2 linked regions of the Sus scrofa genome follow. The protein of the gene in region 2 interacts with the protein of the main gene of each other region in a pairwise test. Links are inferred from orthologs where the notes say so. Each region holds a gene or a part of one and is shown on either strand. Other genes may lie near its edges.

Region 1 (7,502 bases), on a different chromosome or scaffold from region 2:
AGTCACCAGTTTCAAGTTGGAGGAAGACATGATCCAGTGGGCATCCACATTGAGACGGGGACCTCACGCGCCTTCTTGAGATGCCCTTGACCAGCTGCTCTCTCTCCAGGCTGGAGACTGCCCCTCTCCAGACCGCCCCACCTGTTCGTGGTAAGTGACTTGTTTTTAGACTTAGATGCGATGCTCAGGAGGAGGACCTGCCTTTAAGCCAGAAAGCAAGGGCAAAAATCCCCTTCCTCTCCCTGCTTGTGGACTACACTCAGGTTCCTCCTCGCACGCCTTCCAGAAAAGTCCCTAATGCTGTGTACATACCTGCTGCCTTGTCTTTGAAGGTCTTTGTGGCCGCCTAGCCAGTGCAACAGTCTGTCACAGGGTGTTTTCCCTGGCCTCGCTCCCTCCCTCTCAGCAGCCTGGCTCACATCTCCTAAATAAATCATCAGAACCACTCTAGCCTAGGTTCTGCTTCCTAGCCAACAGTTTTCTAGAAAGATCTGCTTTTAGTAACATGGGGTCTCTGGGCATTTCTCTCTCCTCTGGGCCTCAGCAGCACATTTTCTACAATGAAAGTGTTGACTTTTAAGTGTCAGAGAGCCCTAGCCTTTGACATGTAACCCATGGGCCCGTTTTGCCCTCCTGTGTCCACCAATGTGGCTGAGGTGTCTAAATCTATCACGAAGCAACAAATACAATAGTTAAGAAGTCTCTGGAGGGAGACTGAACTTGAGTTCTAGTTCCTTGCTCCTTCCTAGCTATGCGACCCTGAGCAAGTGACCTGGCCTCTCACCTCAGGCTCCTCCCATGGAAAACATGGCAACAGGATCTTTTTTTTTTTTTTTTTTTTTTTTTTTGTCTTTTTGCCTTTTCTTGAGCCACTCCCCAGTGGCATATGGAGGTTCCCAGGCTAGGGGTCGAATTGGAGCAGTAGCCACCCGCCTACACCAGAGCCACAGCAACACCAGATCCAAGCCGCGTGTGCGACCTACGCCACAGCTCACGGCAACTCCAGATCCTTAACCCACTGAGCCAGGCCAGGGATCAAACCTGCAACCTCATGGTTCCTAGTCAGATTTGTTAACCACTGAGCCACAACGGGAACTCCAGGATCTATTTCGTATCCCTGCTCCAACTCTGACAGGGCAGAGATGCAGGAGTCTAGGGAACTTACCAGGTCCCTCCCACTGACCCACTAAAGTTTAGAAACTTTAGGCAACACCACCCCTTCCAAAATACTTTTATTAAAAAAAAAAAAATTACAATCAGAAAACAAAACAAAAAAACCCACCACAAAACCTGCCTTTCTATTAAATAATGCGGCATGGAGCAGTTTGGTTTCCACCCTATTGCACGTGGTCCGGCCTGGTCATGAATCAGGAGGCTGCTGGGACTGGGGTCCTATGAAGGAGGTGGGGTTCAGCCTGGGGAGGAGGCCAGCCCCTCCCATTCCCTAGAGGTGCAAGAGGCAGAAGCTGGGTTTCCATAGCAACCAGGCAGCACCTCCCTGTCATCCTTTGACAGGCCCAGCTTATCTTCCCTGAGGCCCCAGGGGACACGAGGGGAGTAGGAACTGGAGGGAAAGGCAGAAGAAATGTGGACGTGGGAAATCAGACTCCCAGAAACAGAGTCTCATTAAGGCATTTGCAACAGATAAATTAATTCAGGAAGACCCACCTTCACAGAAGGCTGCGATAACCAGACACACACACACATGCAAGACAGTTTGTGGAACCCTGAAATGGGAGCAAAGGAGGCCACAGTTACTGCTTAAAGCCTCCATATAAACACACACACACAGAGTTGCATCCAGGGATTTCAGCCCACCAAGGCTGAGATGGGGAAGGAGCGCCCCCTCCCCATCAAAGTTTTAGGATCCCAGAATGATTTCCATGATGTGATCTAGTTCATTCCACTCCCAGGAACCTGGGGCACAGAAGAGGTTGTGAGGAGGCTCGGGTGGGGTCAGTGCAGGCTCCTTCTCCACTGCCGATGTGTCAATGTCCAGGAAGAAGTCATCCAGGCCGGAGTCCCCTAGGTACCGGGAGCTCAGAGCTTCTAAGAAGACCGGATCGGGCTGGGGCAATACTTCATTCTGGGGACCTGGGGGAGCCACTGGATTGGGAGGGGGCTCAGTCTCATCCATGGAGGTCTCCAGCTCCCTGAGAATAGAGCCGATGGTGGTCGACAGGGAGAAGTCCTCCTCGCCCAGGAAGAGGGGCTCGGGGGGCAGGGCAGGTGCAGGCGTCAGGCAAAGCGCTGCTTGGAGTTGTTGGAGGGTGTTGTGGATGAGGACATGCCTTCGAAGGCTGGGTGCTCGGGGGCCCAGGCTTCGCTGGACTTTGTCTAGGGAGATGCGGAGCAGGGCTTGCTGGTAGCTCCGAAGGCCTGTGGGACTCCAGTCCCACTTCTCATCCTCTTCTTCCTCCTCCAAATCTGAGTGTTTCCTCTTCAAGCCTACCATGATGCCCTGTGGTAAGAAGAGGGGCAAGTGAGACACAGCAGGGTTAGTTCAAATCCTGAATCTCCTGTATGGCTGTTGATTTTTAATGGCCCAAATAAATCTCACAAGGCTAAGGAAGAGAGTATATGTATGTGATTAACAAAACAAGATCTGGACGCAAGACACAGCTGGGTTTGAATCCCACTTACTGGCCCATGTGGCCTCCAGTAGTGAATTTACTTCCTTGAGACTCAATTTCCTCATCTACAAGGAATCTTAATTCAAGTTCTGGAGTCTTAAGGCTGTTCTTTCACAATACTCTTATTTTCAAACACGACACACACAAGACAGATACTGAGTACAGACACCTGGCCTGCAAGTAGAGATTCCTAGGGTTGACTTCTGCCTTTCACACTGCTCAGCTGTGAGATCTTGGGAAGTGATACTACACGCACAATGAACAAGAGTTCATTGCCAGTTATTTATTGAAAAAAAATTTCTTTTTAGGCCGGCACCCTGTGGCATATAGAAGTTCCCAGGCTATAGGTCAAAATCGGAGCTTCAGCTGCTGGCCTACACCACAGCCACGCCAGATCCTAGCCACATCTGTGACCTACACCGCAGCTCACGGAAACGCCTGATCGTTAACCCACTGAGCAAAGCCAGGGATTGAACACCAGTCTCATGGATACTAGCTGGGTTCCTTACCGTCCAGTCACAACGGGAATTCCTCATTCAATATTTTTATTTGAGGAGTTCCCGACGAATCCGACTAGGAATCATGAGATTGCAGGTTCGATCCCTGGCCTTGCTCATTGGGTTAGGGATCCAGCATTGCCTTGAGCTGTGGTGTAGGTCGCAGACAAGGCTTGGATCTGGCGTGGCTGTGGCGAAGGCCGGCGGCTATAGCTCGGATTAGACCTCTAGCCTGGGAACCTCCACATGCCGCGGGTGCGGTCCTAGAAAAGACAAAAATATATATATTTCTTTAATTTGAAAACAAAATGAAACAAAAAATAAAATACAGGTCCACAATCACTTAAAAAATTTTTTTTTTGAATGTCTACTATATTCTAGCCACCTGGAACCCTGATAGGGAACCTATCTGTGGAGACTCTTCTTTTACAGAGAACAAATATTTTTCCTGACTGGGAGCTCTCGCAACAACAGTGAAAATACCTCCCTCACTCCCTCTGTGGTTGCCTTCAGGTTTCTCCAGCATGAGTCCGGTAGGAAAACTCGCCAGAACATTACTCACGCCAAGCCCCGCCCCCGACCAGCCCATCCAACCAGGCCCCCGCTCTCTACAGGCCCCGCCCCCTCGACGAAGTTCGAGTTCGGAACCCAGACACGCCCCAACTTGGTCCTTGGGGCTTATGGGAAATGTGGGCCAATAGCCTCCAGGTACACGTACTGACGTTGAACGCGCACTACAACCCCCGGAGGGCTCAGCAAGCCGCAGGGACGCACCTTCCCCGCCTTCCCTTAGGGCATGCGCAAAGCGGCCCGTGGTGGGTGGGGGAAGGGAACCCGGACGTCCAGCTGCCCGGCGCCCGCCGAGCCCCGCCCTCCGCTGCCTTCAGGGCTGCGGGTCTGAGCTCCACGCCCGAAACACCCCTCCCCCACCCGACTCCGATTCTAAACTGCTTTCTACCGGTCCTGCGGACCGTAGAAAGTCCCAAATTCTTCCATCAAACTACTCTCGGGTCCAGAGACCCAGGCCCCAACACATCGCTCAAAGACTTACAAATGCTCTCCGATGCGCTCTGTTCGGGCCGCTAGGTATCTGAATTTTGAGACCCTCCCCGTCAACTTTCCCCTATTCTCCGGTCTTTCAAATGCTTCTCAACCTCATCTCCGACTCCCCCTCCGGCTCCAAGACCTGACTGGGAACTCTCCTCTCCCCAGGACCCCTCTCCACCACTGCGTCTAGGAGATCGAGTCCTTGCCCCTATTTCTTTCGCTTCTCCAAATGCTCGGGATCACAGCGCAACGCCTCAAACTTTTTCCTGAACAGTAGTGCCCGACTTTAACTCGTCCCGGAGACCTGAATTATCCCAATCTTCAGATTTCCTGCCCCCAAAAGTTCCTTCCCTAGTTCTCTCGCTTCCCAAACACCCCGTGTCCCAGCTTCAGACTCCCTCCACTTGAAGACCCTGTCCCCAAAACTTCGCCTTCCTTTCAGGATCTCGAAACTCAGTCTCTCCAAACCTGCGCCCCCTACTCCCACCCATACCCCGCCTCCACAACTCTCCGGAGCGCCTCCACTTCCCTCAACCCAAGGCGGATCCCAAGCCAGGCAGCCACACCTCACCTCAACTGCCAGGTTCGCAACAACTACCTCCGGGAACGCCCGCGGCTTTGCGACCCTCCTTTGCGAGTGCTGGGTAGGGGCCGCGCTCACCACCCCGGGGCCTCTCGGTCTGGCCTCAGGCCCACCCAGCTCCGCCCGGAGCCGAGCCGCGAACCATGATTGGCTGGAGTCCTGCCCACCGCAGGGCGCGGATTGGCTAGGCGGAGCTACCGCCTGTCGCCTGGAGACGCCGGACCCGCCTTCCCCTCCTTCGCTCCGCGGACCTTTTAAAGGATTCTGACTTGCCGGGAGGCAGGGCCACCTCTCTAGGGTGGATGTTGCACCAAAACTGTTTCTTTCAACTCGGCTACTGTCCTCGCTCCAAGACCGTCTTCATTGCTCTCTGCGACCCCTTTATACCAAGCCTGGACCCAGTCGCGGAGGAAGATTGACAGGCACGCCCGGCCCCACCCCGCTTACCGGGAGGACCCCGCTGCGCCTCTCACGAAGGCCGCGCCCCTAGCTTTGGAGGGCGGACCCTGCGGAGGAGGAGGATGACGCACCGAAGGCCAGCCAATAGTTTGGTGCGGCCTGTGTTGCCTGGGAGATCTTAGCCCTTCCTCCCTCAGGATGGCACCCCTGCTGCGGGAAACTCGCTCTTGGCTCCCCACTGTCGTGGGGACAAAGTCCAAACTACTTTTTTTTTTTTTTTTTTTTTTTGCCTTAAAGCCCTTCAGGTCTGGCTTGATGCACTCTCCCTTGCTCTCTACAATCCTGCCGCACCGACTGACTCACTCTTTCTAAAATGGCTCCACCGCCGTGAACAGAGATTCGGTTTTCTTCCCTGCCTTATCTTCAGTGCCTACAACAATGCCAGGTTCGTATCAAGTTCTCGAAAATGAGGGGGGAAAAAAAAAGACCTCTGGCACAACATTGTAAGTCAAAATCAAGGATACTTTTAAAAAGACCTCTGGATCTTGAAACTTTTTCCCATCCTGAAAATACGCCCTCAATTCCCAGGCTGCCTCTTGAGTCAGAACTCTTCTCAAAGTTTTCCTCTCAGTTCTGAGGCTCCAGGGATGGTCCAGACCCATTCTGGCCTCCCACAGGGTCCTGTGCTTCCCTCATCGCGACCCTGACTCCTTTGCCTGAGTCTCCCCGACCTTGGCCCTGGCCGTCACTGGATTGTGGGCCTCCTGGGGACACGTACCAATGTTATCTCACTGCTTGGTCCCCAGCATCACCTAGCACAGGGCCGGACACAAGGCAGGCGCCCAGTGAAAGAAAGTTTGTTAAATGCAGACACTGTAACAGAAGAAATAAAGCGGGAGGAAATGAGTGCGGCCGGTGCCCAGAAAGCCTGAACCAGCCCTGCCCCACCCCCACAACACGTTCCCGCCCACGGGAGGAGAGAGTTTTCTCCAGGCCGCTCCGGAGAAGGAAGGTTTAAGGCTCTTTGGACCAGTCCTCGCCGGTTGGAATTTGTCAGTCATGTAGTCCAGCTGTGTGGAGAAGAGTATAGGATGGGAATGGATTTGGGGTTGGGGGAGAGCTTTGGGGGTTAGGTAAGCGAGGAGTGGTTTGCTCAGTCCTGGGAAAGGTGTCTCTGGGGGACAAAGGTGGGGGAGAGTAGATTCCAAGAAGGGACATGATTAGGAAGAGGCAGTTCTTCCCCTCCCCGTGCCGAATCAGCCCCTTCAGGCTTCCTGTCTCAGGGTGGCCCTACTGCAACCCCACTTTCAGGATTCAGTCCTAGGTTTCCTTCTGGTGCCTCCCTCCCCTCCCAACTGTCCACTCAGGCTCCCGCCCACTCTCCCTCTCTTCCTCAAGGTCCCAGGACACCCTCTGGGTTCCCAGTCTCTACTTCTGCACCCTCCCATCCACCCGCACACAGTAGCCCAGGGAAGCTTCATAAAACACAAACCCGGAGTTCCTGTCGTGCGGCTCACCAGTAATGAACCCAACTAGTATCCATGAGGATGTAGGTTCAATCCCTGGCCTCTTGCTCAGTGGGTGAAGGATCTGGCTTTGCTGTGGCTGTGGTGTAGGATGGCAGCTGCAGCTTGGGCTCAGCCCGTAGCCTGGGACCTTCCATATGCCGTGGGTGCGGCCCTAAACAAGCAAACAAACCTGAGTGTGATCCCCCCTCCCCACCTCTCCCTTGCTCCACTCTTTGCATAAAAACTTAGACTAAAGCTCAAACTTTTACAAGGACCCTGGCCGGTTTAGCACCATAGAACAGCCTCTTGGGGTTGATCGCTCCTCCCCTCTGACCAAAGTATTAACTGTAGGGGATGGGCTTTAGTTCTTCAAAGGGGCCATGTGCTCATGTGGCCTCTTCTGCCTGGAACGCCATCACGCCTTAGAACCTTCCCTTGGCTCATTCTCACTAAACCAGGTTTCAGGTGGGACAGCTCATCTTCCACAGAACCTTCCTCAAGCTGGGTCCCTCGGCTCTCTCTGCTTCCTCCATCAGAGCCCTGGCCACTCACTCTGTGTTGTCACTGTCAGGGGCAGGGCTGTCTTCCACGTTGGACAGTGAGATCCATGAAGACAGGGTCCCCACTGTCTTCACTGGTTCCCCAGCACAGGGCCAGGTGAGGAAACAAATGGATGAATGCCCAGAAAATCTTTTTTCTCTTTTTTTTGGTCTTTTTAGGGCCAAACACACAACACATGGAGGCTCCTAAGCTAAGGAGCTGTAGCTACTGGCCTACGCCACAGCCAGCAATGCCAGATCCAAACCATATCCAAGACCTGCACTGCAGCTTGCAG
Region 2 (7,548 bases):
GTAGGCTGGCGGCTACAGCTCCGATTAGACCCCTAGCCTGGTAACCTCCATATGCCGCAACAAGAACAACAACAACAAAACAAGAAATAGCAACAACAACAACAAAAGACAAAAAAAAAAAAAAAAAATTAAAAAAAAAACAAACAAACCTAGCTGAGTATAAAAACTCAAAGATATAAGATTTTATCCAGTTAAAGTTAATAAAAACAAATGCCTGTCTAAATTTTAACTCCAAGGAAATTAGCATGTTACGAATTTTATCTAAAATATAAAAATGTATTTTTGGAAATCAGCTGGCTCCTGTCCGTTACTTCAGTCGTGCCTCTACACCAGCAAATCCAGACCTTATACTGTGATCCAAGTGTATTATGTTATCACACCAGCCCCTTTAAAGCCATAAAACTCCACCTACCTTAAAACAAACATCTAGGACATCCAGGATGGCTTCCACTCTTGCTTTTCCCAAGTTAAAGCCTTTTGGATCCAGCAACCAAGGGACTTCCTTGGGGGGAAAGAGAGGGGAAATGGGGAGTCCAGCAAAGGTAGGCGGGGAAGGCGGACAGGCTGCAGATCTAGTCCGGTCACTTCTCTCCTCCCTCCACTTAATGAGAGCATTTGTACAGAAAAAGCCGAGAAAATGACCAGCGCTCCAAACAAGGTGCCCCGAATTTCTAGGAGGAACACCTGTAACAGGGTTCATTAGGAACTTGGCTGTGAGAGGTGCTTTAAACAAGCATTAGCCAACATATTCTCTATTTCTGTAAACAAACAAGATGAGCACTATTTGTGGAAGGAACTTTAAAAGCCTGTTATCTACAAAGAGCAAAATGTACTTTTGTCTGTGAACGAACTGGGCTAAGTTCGCTTACCACTACACCCACTGAGAGAGGTAAGTGGAAATTCAGTGCATCGTACAACTGACTTGAAGGAACTCTCTCATTTTTCTGAATACAGTAGCCCTTACAGTCATAAATTACTTTCACCTTGAGTCTTCAGCCCAAATCCCCACCTCTGCCACCACAGCTTTTACCTTCTGTGGGGGAAACAGAGCAGTGAAGACTTGGCTCATCACTTCTCCGCTCATCAAAAAAGCAGAGGCTTACAGTACGTTAAAAATGCAGTTGGTTTCCTGGGGCGCTGGAGTCAATACTCCACCCTCCCCCTGCCACTTCTGCTAATGGCACAGCTACCTCTTCCGAGCAGCAAGTGGCTTTCGCAACCCAGACGGCACAGACAGGGATGAAATTAAAAAACAGAACCTACAGGACTTGAATCCCACTCCTTCCCGACTAAACTTTCCCAGGTGATGCCAACGTGCAGCCTTGAAACCACTTTCAGCCTTGAAGTTTGGGAGGAATGAATTGCACTTGTAGCTCCAGGAAAAAATGAAGATGAAATTTAAGATTTTTATCCCATCTTCCTGGCCAGTAAGACTTATGGAGACACTGGCTGAGGGTTTCTGGGAAATTTTACTCGTTCTCCAGTGAAAACTTCTGAAAAAATTGATAGGTGTGAAATGGATGTGAAGTCTGAAAGCGCCATTGGCCATTTTTACCAACCAAAAGGGGAAGCAGTTTAGAACAAAGCAGAATCAATCAGTGCTCGCTTCGGCAGCACATATACTAAAATGGGAAAGATACAGAGATTAGCATGGCCCCTGCGCAAGGATGACACGCAAATTCGTGAAGCGTTCCATAAAAAAAAAACAAAGCAGAATCAAAAGTGGGCAGGAAGTTATCAAGCCCATATCCTTGATGACATGACAAAATGATGTCTGCAACCAGAACATCTTTGGTAGTCATGGTTCAGTTCCCCCTCATCTATAACCTTTAGGAGCCCCAAACTAGAAAGCAACACATAGGAAATGCAAAGTAAAGAAAAGGGTGGAATTTAATCTTTATTTACAGGACACTGCAAGATATGAAATTCCACATAGAAATAAGAACCCTACTGAGAGTAGAAGCTTCATACAGTATGTACAGTTTGGAACTGTTCAAGTATAGTTTCAGTTGTAAAAAGTGCTACAATAACAAACCACATTTAAAAAGAGCTCTTAGTAGAGAAACAGTAAGACCAACTTTTATCAAACATAGTACGCAACAAACAACTTTATGCCTCAGATGTGCAGTCTAAAAGTTGAAGGTCCCAGTAGCGCTGTCCTGAACTTGGAATGTATATCCTTCAGAGGTAGTTTCTGGCACAACATTTTGATCTTCCTCTTCCTGGAGTATTTAAAAACAAAACAATATAAAATGTTTCTAAGAGGCAGATGCCTACAAGTTTGTATTTACTCTTTTTTCTTCTTTTATCTCTAAGCTGAAAACGAAAACCAGTTTACCCATGTCTCCCACCCCCACTTTTGGCAACCACAAATCTGTTCTTGTGTGCATGTTTCTTTTTGGCCATGGCAATGACTGCAGCATTTGGAAGTTCCTGGGCCAGGGATAGAACCTGCACCACAGAAGCACCAATAGAGGATCCTTAACCTGCTTAGCCACAGGGGAACTCCGTGTGTGTGTTTTTAACATCACACATATAAGAGAGATCACCTGGTGGTATTTGTCTAACTCATTTCACTTAGCATAAATACCTACTAGGTATTCACTCCTAAGGTCCTCATTTGCATATTTCACCTTTAATCCTGCATTGTATCTTTTTTTTTTTCCGTCTCTTGTCTTTTTAGGGCTGCACCCTCGGCATATGGAGGTTCCCAGGCTAGAGGTCTAATCGGAGTTGTTGCCAGCAGCCTACGCCAGAGCCATAGCAATGTCAGATCTGAGCTGCGTCTCTGACCTACACCACAGCTCACGGCAACACCAGATCCTTAACCCACTGGGTGAGGTCAGGGATTGAATCTGAAACCTCATGGTTCCTAGTCGGATTCATTTCCACTGCACCAAGATGGGAACTCCCCCCTTTGTTTTGTCTTTTGTAATCCTGCGCCATATTTTCAATATCTGAAAGAGTGGATGGAAAGCTCTGAAACTTGCCAACTCATGAGTGCCTGGGAGGGAAGTTATGAACAGGTTAAGAAATGCTACTACGGCAACAGAAAAGCAGAGATTTTCTTAACCTGTCACTTCAGAAGGCAGCTTATTAGGCCAGAGGCTCACTTCTCTAACGTCTATACAAACTCACTCTCAAGATAGTCTAAGCTCTCTAAGGCTATTCATTTGAAAGTAAATGGGTGACTTTTTAATACCTCAGTTTAAAAAGATGGTATTATCTTCAAGTCAAACATGAGATGAACAAATATGTATGTTATACCCCACTTGAGACTGATATGATATACTGCTATACTGAACAGCGCTCATCTAAAAAGTATGAGGAAAAATATCTTATGGGCTTAACCTTAAATGTGTATTTTTCCAGTTCTTATTGACATTGCTACTCACCTCCACAGAGAAATACTTCTCAATCAAGTTTAATGAAGCTTTGTACACAGACTCATTTTCATGGTTTTGGAGAGCTTCAATTTTGTCCAGACCTCCACATTCTTCAATCATTATACTAAGTTTCTCAGTTTCACCTAGTTTCTCAGCAGCCTGCAAAAAATTCCAAGTTTAGTAGCCTACACTTTGAAAGACCTTTTTTTTTTTTTTTTTTTTTTTTTTTTTTGGTCTTTTTGTCTTTATAAGGCCGCAACTGCAGCACATGGAGGTTCCCAGGCTAGGGGTCTAATGGAGCTGTAGCCGCCGGCCTACACCACAGCCACAGCAACACCAGATCCTTAACCCACTGAGCAAGGCCAGGGATCGAACCCCAAACCTCATGATTCCTAGTTGGATTCATTTCCACTGTGCCATGACGGGAACTCCCTGAAAGTTCTATTTTAATGAAGAAAACAATTTCTATGTTTTAGTGTCCATGTGTATCAGACAGAAATAAACACGTGAGTTTATTTAACAACCCTATGAGAGAGAACTATCTGCATTTTACCTATGTTTTATATTTTTGAAAAATTCAAGCGAATCAGATTTTGCTTCTTAGCAACTACTTCTGTAGCTTTCAGCCACAAAGATCTTAGTATAGTTCTTAACCTTTTCTGTACATCAAAATCACCCAGGCAACTTTAAAAATGACACTATATCCAGGTTCAGTTGGCCTGTGATGGGAATAGGAAATTACTGTTTTGTAAAGACTCCAGATAATCCCAAGGTGTATGTAGTAAGAGTGGAGAATCACTGTCCAAGGGTAAAGATGGCCTGTGGTTTGTAAAAACAAATTCCTCTGACTGGATCATTTGTTGATACCAAGAGAATGGTACGGTGGTCAGATACTTTTCAAAGTCCTCAACTTTTAGGACATACATAAATATTTACAAGTAAAATAACGTATTTGCTTCAAAATAAAAACTTAAGGTAAGTGTGAGTAGGAAAAGAAGCCAAATGTTGCCGACTTATTTATGTTAGGTAATCATATTCTAAACTCAACTTTGATATGTGAAAATTTCCATAATCAAAGTTGTTGAGTAAGACCTAACCACCATTAAATACTGACAAAGTGCCATGTGCCAGCACATGTGGATCACTCAGGGCTTGAAACCAGAAGAAAAATATAACTGACCGGGTCGTTCGAATTTTTTTTTTTCTTTTTGCCTTTTCTAGGGCTGCACCTGCAGCATATGGAGATTCCCAGGCTAGGGGTCTAATAGGAGCTGTAGCCGCCAGCCTACACCAGAGCCACAGCAACGCAGGATCCGAGCCGCGTCTGTGACCTACACCACAGTTCATGGCAACGATGGATCCTTAGCCCACTGAGCGAGCCAAGGATCAAACCCGCAACCTCGTGGTTCCCAGTTGGATTCGTTAACCACCAAGCCACGACAGGAACTCCTGGTTGGTCAAATTTAATTTCATACTGAATTACAGTATGAAATTGGGGAATCAGGAGTTCCTGTCATGGCACAGCAGAAAACAAATCTGACTAGGAACCATAAGGTTTTGGGTTCAATCCCTGGCCTCACTCAGTGGGTTAAAGATCTGGCGTTGCTGTGAGCTGTGTTGTAGGTCGCAGACGCAGCTTGGATCTGATGTTGCTGTGGCTCTGGTGTAGGCCAGTGGCTACAGCTCTGATTCGACCCCCAGCGTGGCAACCTCCATATGCTGCCAGTGCGGCCCTAAAAAGACAAAAGACCAAAAAAAAAAACCAAAAAACAAAAACTGGGGGATTAAGACATCTTGACAAAATAAACAGATATGAATCGTGTCCACATATGTACCTGACCTCAATTCAGTCACATCATGCATTTGTCATTCCTTTTATATCTCTTATAATCCTTGCCAGGTCTTATTTTATCAAGAGTGTGGCTCATATGAAGAGGCTTTCTGATTCTGTGGCCCACTCAGGAAATTTAGCTGCCTCCACCCCCACCTTGCCATCATCTAAATAGTAAACCAGGGAATTCCCACCATGGCTCAGCGGAAACGAACCTGATTAACATCCATGAGGACAAAGGTTTGATCCCTGGCCTCGCTCAGTGGATTAAGGATCTGGCGTTGCCATGAGCTGTGATGGAGGCTGGCAGCTACAGCTCCAATTCGACCCCTAGCCTAAGAACCTCCATATGCCACCGGTGCGGCCCTAAAAAAAGACCAAAAAACAAAAAAAACCCACCAAACCTCTAGTGTCATCACTTTTGAGGCTAAGCTTTGATCCCTGACCTGTGAATTTCTGCATGCCAAGGGTGTGGCCAAAAAAAAAAAAAAGGCAACTTACCTGAAAGATATTAGAAATGGCATCCAGAATAACCAGGATAATTTTGGTATCTTTTGCAGTTAAGAGGTTCATCAATGGTTCTATTATGCCACAGTGGACAAGGTACACGATCTGTTCAACTGTTCCACCACTTGTGTAATTGGTCACAGCCCATACAGCTTCCTTTTGTGTCTTAAAGTCTGCCTAATAAACACAAGAAAACAGGTGTATTTCAGAATGGGCATAAAAATAAGATTCCAAAAGTACTCTTTTAGAAAAATAGTGACTAAAACTACCATCTGACTATTATTTAGCAAAAGACTATAAGTAGGACCTAACATTAGTACATTAAGAACCTTATGAAGTACAGTTCTACCAAGTGGCCTCTGGAAGCAATCCTTTATGAAGGCCTAAGGCTTCTTACCTTCGAGAGAACGCCAACAAGGAATGGGACCAATCCATGATTTACAACTTGCTGTATCTGGTCCTGGCGACCAGCTGTAATATTTGACATTGTCCACGTAGCCTCCTTCTGAATATTTGTTTTGGAGTTTGTTAGCAGGCTGGGAAAGACGGCGAGTGCTCCTGCATCTATGACAACCTGCGTCTGTTCATCTGTGCCAGTGACAATGTTTCCTATTGCTCTTAGTGCAGGAGTCTGGAAAGGGAAAAATGCTGATGTTGCTGGTTATCCTTCATCGTTTCTACCACTGCTCGAAGTCGCTACACCCTAAAAGTCTGGACAAGAGGCTCATTGTGGCCTAAAATAGGTAGTATGTCAATATTAGTACTGACTGATTATGCTCTTCATACTTTATTTCTCATTTGAAAATTAACTTACCACAATCGGCAGTTCAGTGGCTCCTAAAAGCTTCACAAGTTGGGGTACGACCCCTGTCTTCACAACCATTTCAATCCGTTCATTTGGACCATCGGTAAGGTAGGAAATAGCCCAGCAGGTATCTGCTAAAACTTCTGGATCATCGTGATGTAGGAGACGAACTAAAGTAGGAAGAATTTGCTCAACAGCATCTAAGGGGGGTGCAGGATTCTTGTTGCGACAAAGGTTTGAAAGTGTCCAGGTAAGATTACGTAAGTAACCACACTGGGGGAAAAGAAAAATGCAATGAAGTTCTCCATTTTTTGAGGGGGTGGGCAAAATCAGAATCAACAAGTAACTTGACTTATGGTTAAGTAACTTACTGCTAATGATGACATATCAGGAACCGCGAGAAGAGCCAACAGCGGGTCAACCGCACCGTACTTGATAACCAAGTCTCGGAAAACGGAACCATCCCCTTAAAAAAAATTTAAAAAGGCAAGGTTAATCATAACTACTTGTCTAGCACCATCAATTTCACTGACTGAGTACCAGTGTCTTGATACAAGGAAACACTCAGATAGTTCCTAAAATAAATAAATGACACTTTTACCTCTTATAAGCACTGGAAGCAAGTTCAATCCCTAACTCAAAGGCACTTCAACCAACCTCAGTATTAGAGACATTCAGTCAAAAGAACTTGAAATCCAAGTACCTGCGATGTTTCCGAGAGCCCACACAGCTTGTTCACTGATGTGAGCATGGGGAGATGCCAACAGAGAAATGAATGCTGGGATAGCACCTCCATCTACAACAGCCTTGGTCTGTTCTGATGTTCCAGAGGCAATGTTAGTGAGGGCCCAAGCAGACTCAAACTGAATGGGACTACAATCCATTCTGCCCAGGAAGGACACAAATTTTGGAATCAAACCAGCCCGGATTATGTTGTCTATGGGAGGCTGTTTTTCCCTAGAAAGCAGTTTCCTAAGGGTAAATAAAAGGAGAAACAAAAGATGAAGGTAATTAACAAA

The links.
Region 1: the proteins of KPNA2 (region 2) and SERTAD3 interact in binary tests that used the Homo sapiens proteins (3 or more experiments, as listed by UniProt). The two-hybrid records come from large-scale screens. The link is inferred for Sus scrofa from reciprocal best matches to the Homo sapiens genes KPNA2 and SERTAD3.

Annotation. Positions count from the first base shown.
Region 1 is NC_010448.4:48,707,849-48,715,350, forward strand, and holds SERTAD3 (SERTA domain-containing protein 3), read right to left. Parts: upstream 4,903-7,502; 5' UTR 4,749-4,902; intron 2,462-4,748; 5' UTR 2,456-2,461; coding exon 1,862-2,455; 3' UTR 1,216-1,861; downstream 1-1,215.
Region 2 is NC_010454.4:14,291,074-14,298,621, reverse strand, and holds the end of KPNA2 (importin subunit alpha-1), read right to left. Parts: intron 7,502-7,548; coding exon 7,233-7,501; intron 6,996-7,232; coding exon 6,901-6,995; intron 6,803-6,900; coding exon 6,539-6,802; intron 6,356-6,538; coding exon 6,122-6,355; intron 5,902-6,121; coding exon 5,719-5,901; intron 3,546-5,718; coding exon 3,396-3,545; intron 2,223-3,395; coding exon 2,130-2,222; 3' UTR 1,873-2,129; downstream 1-1,872.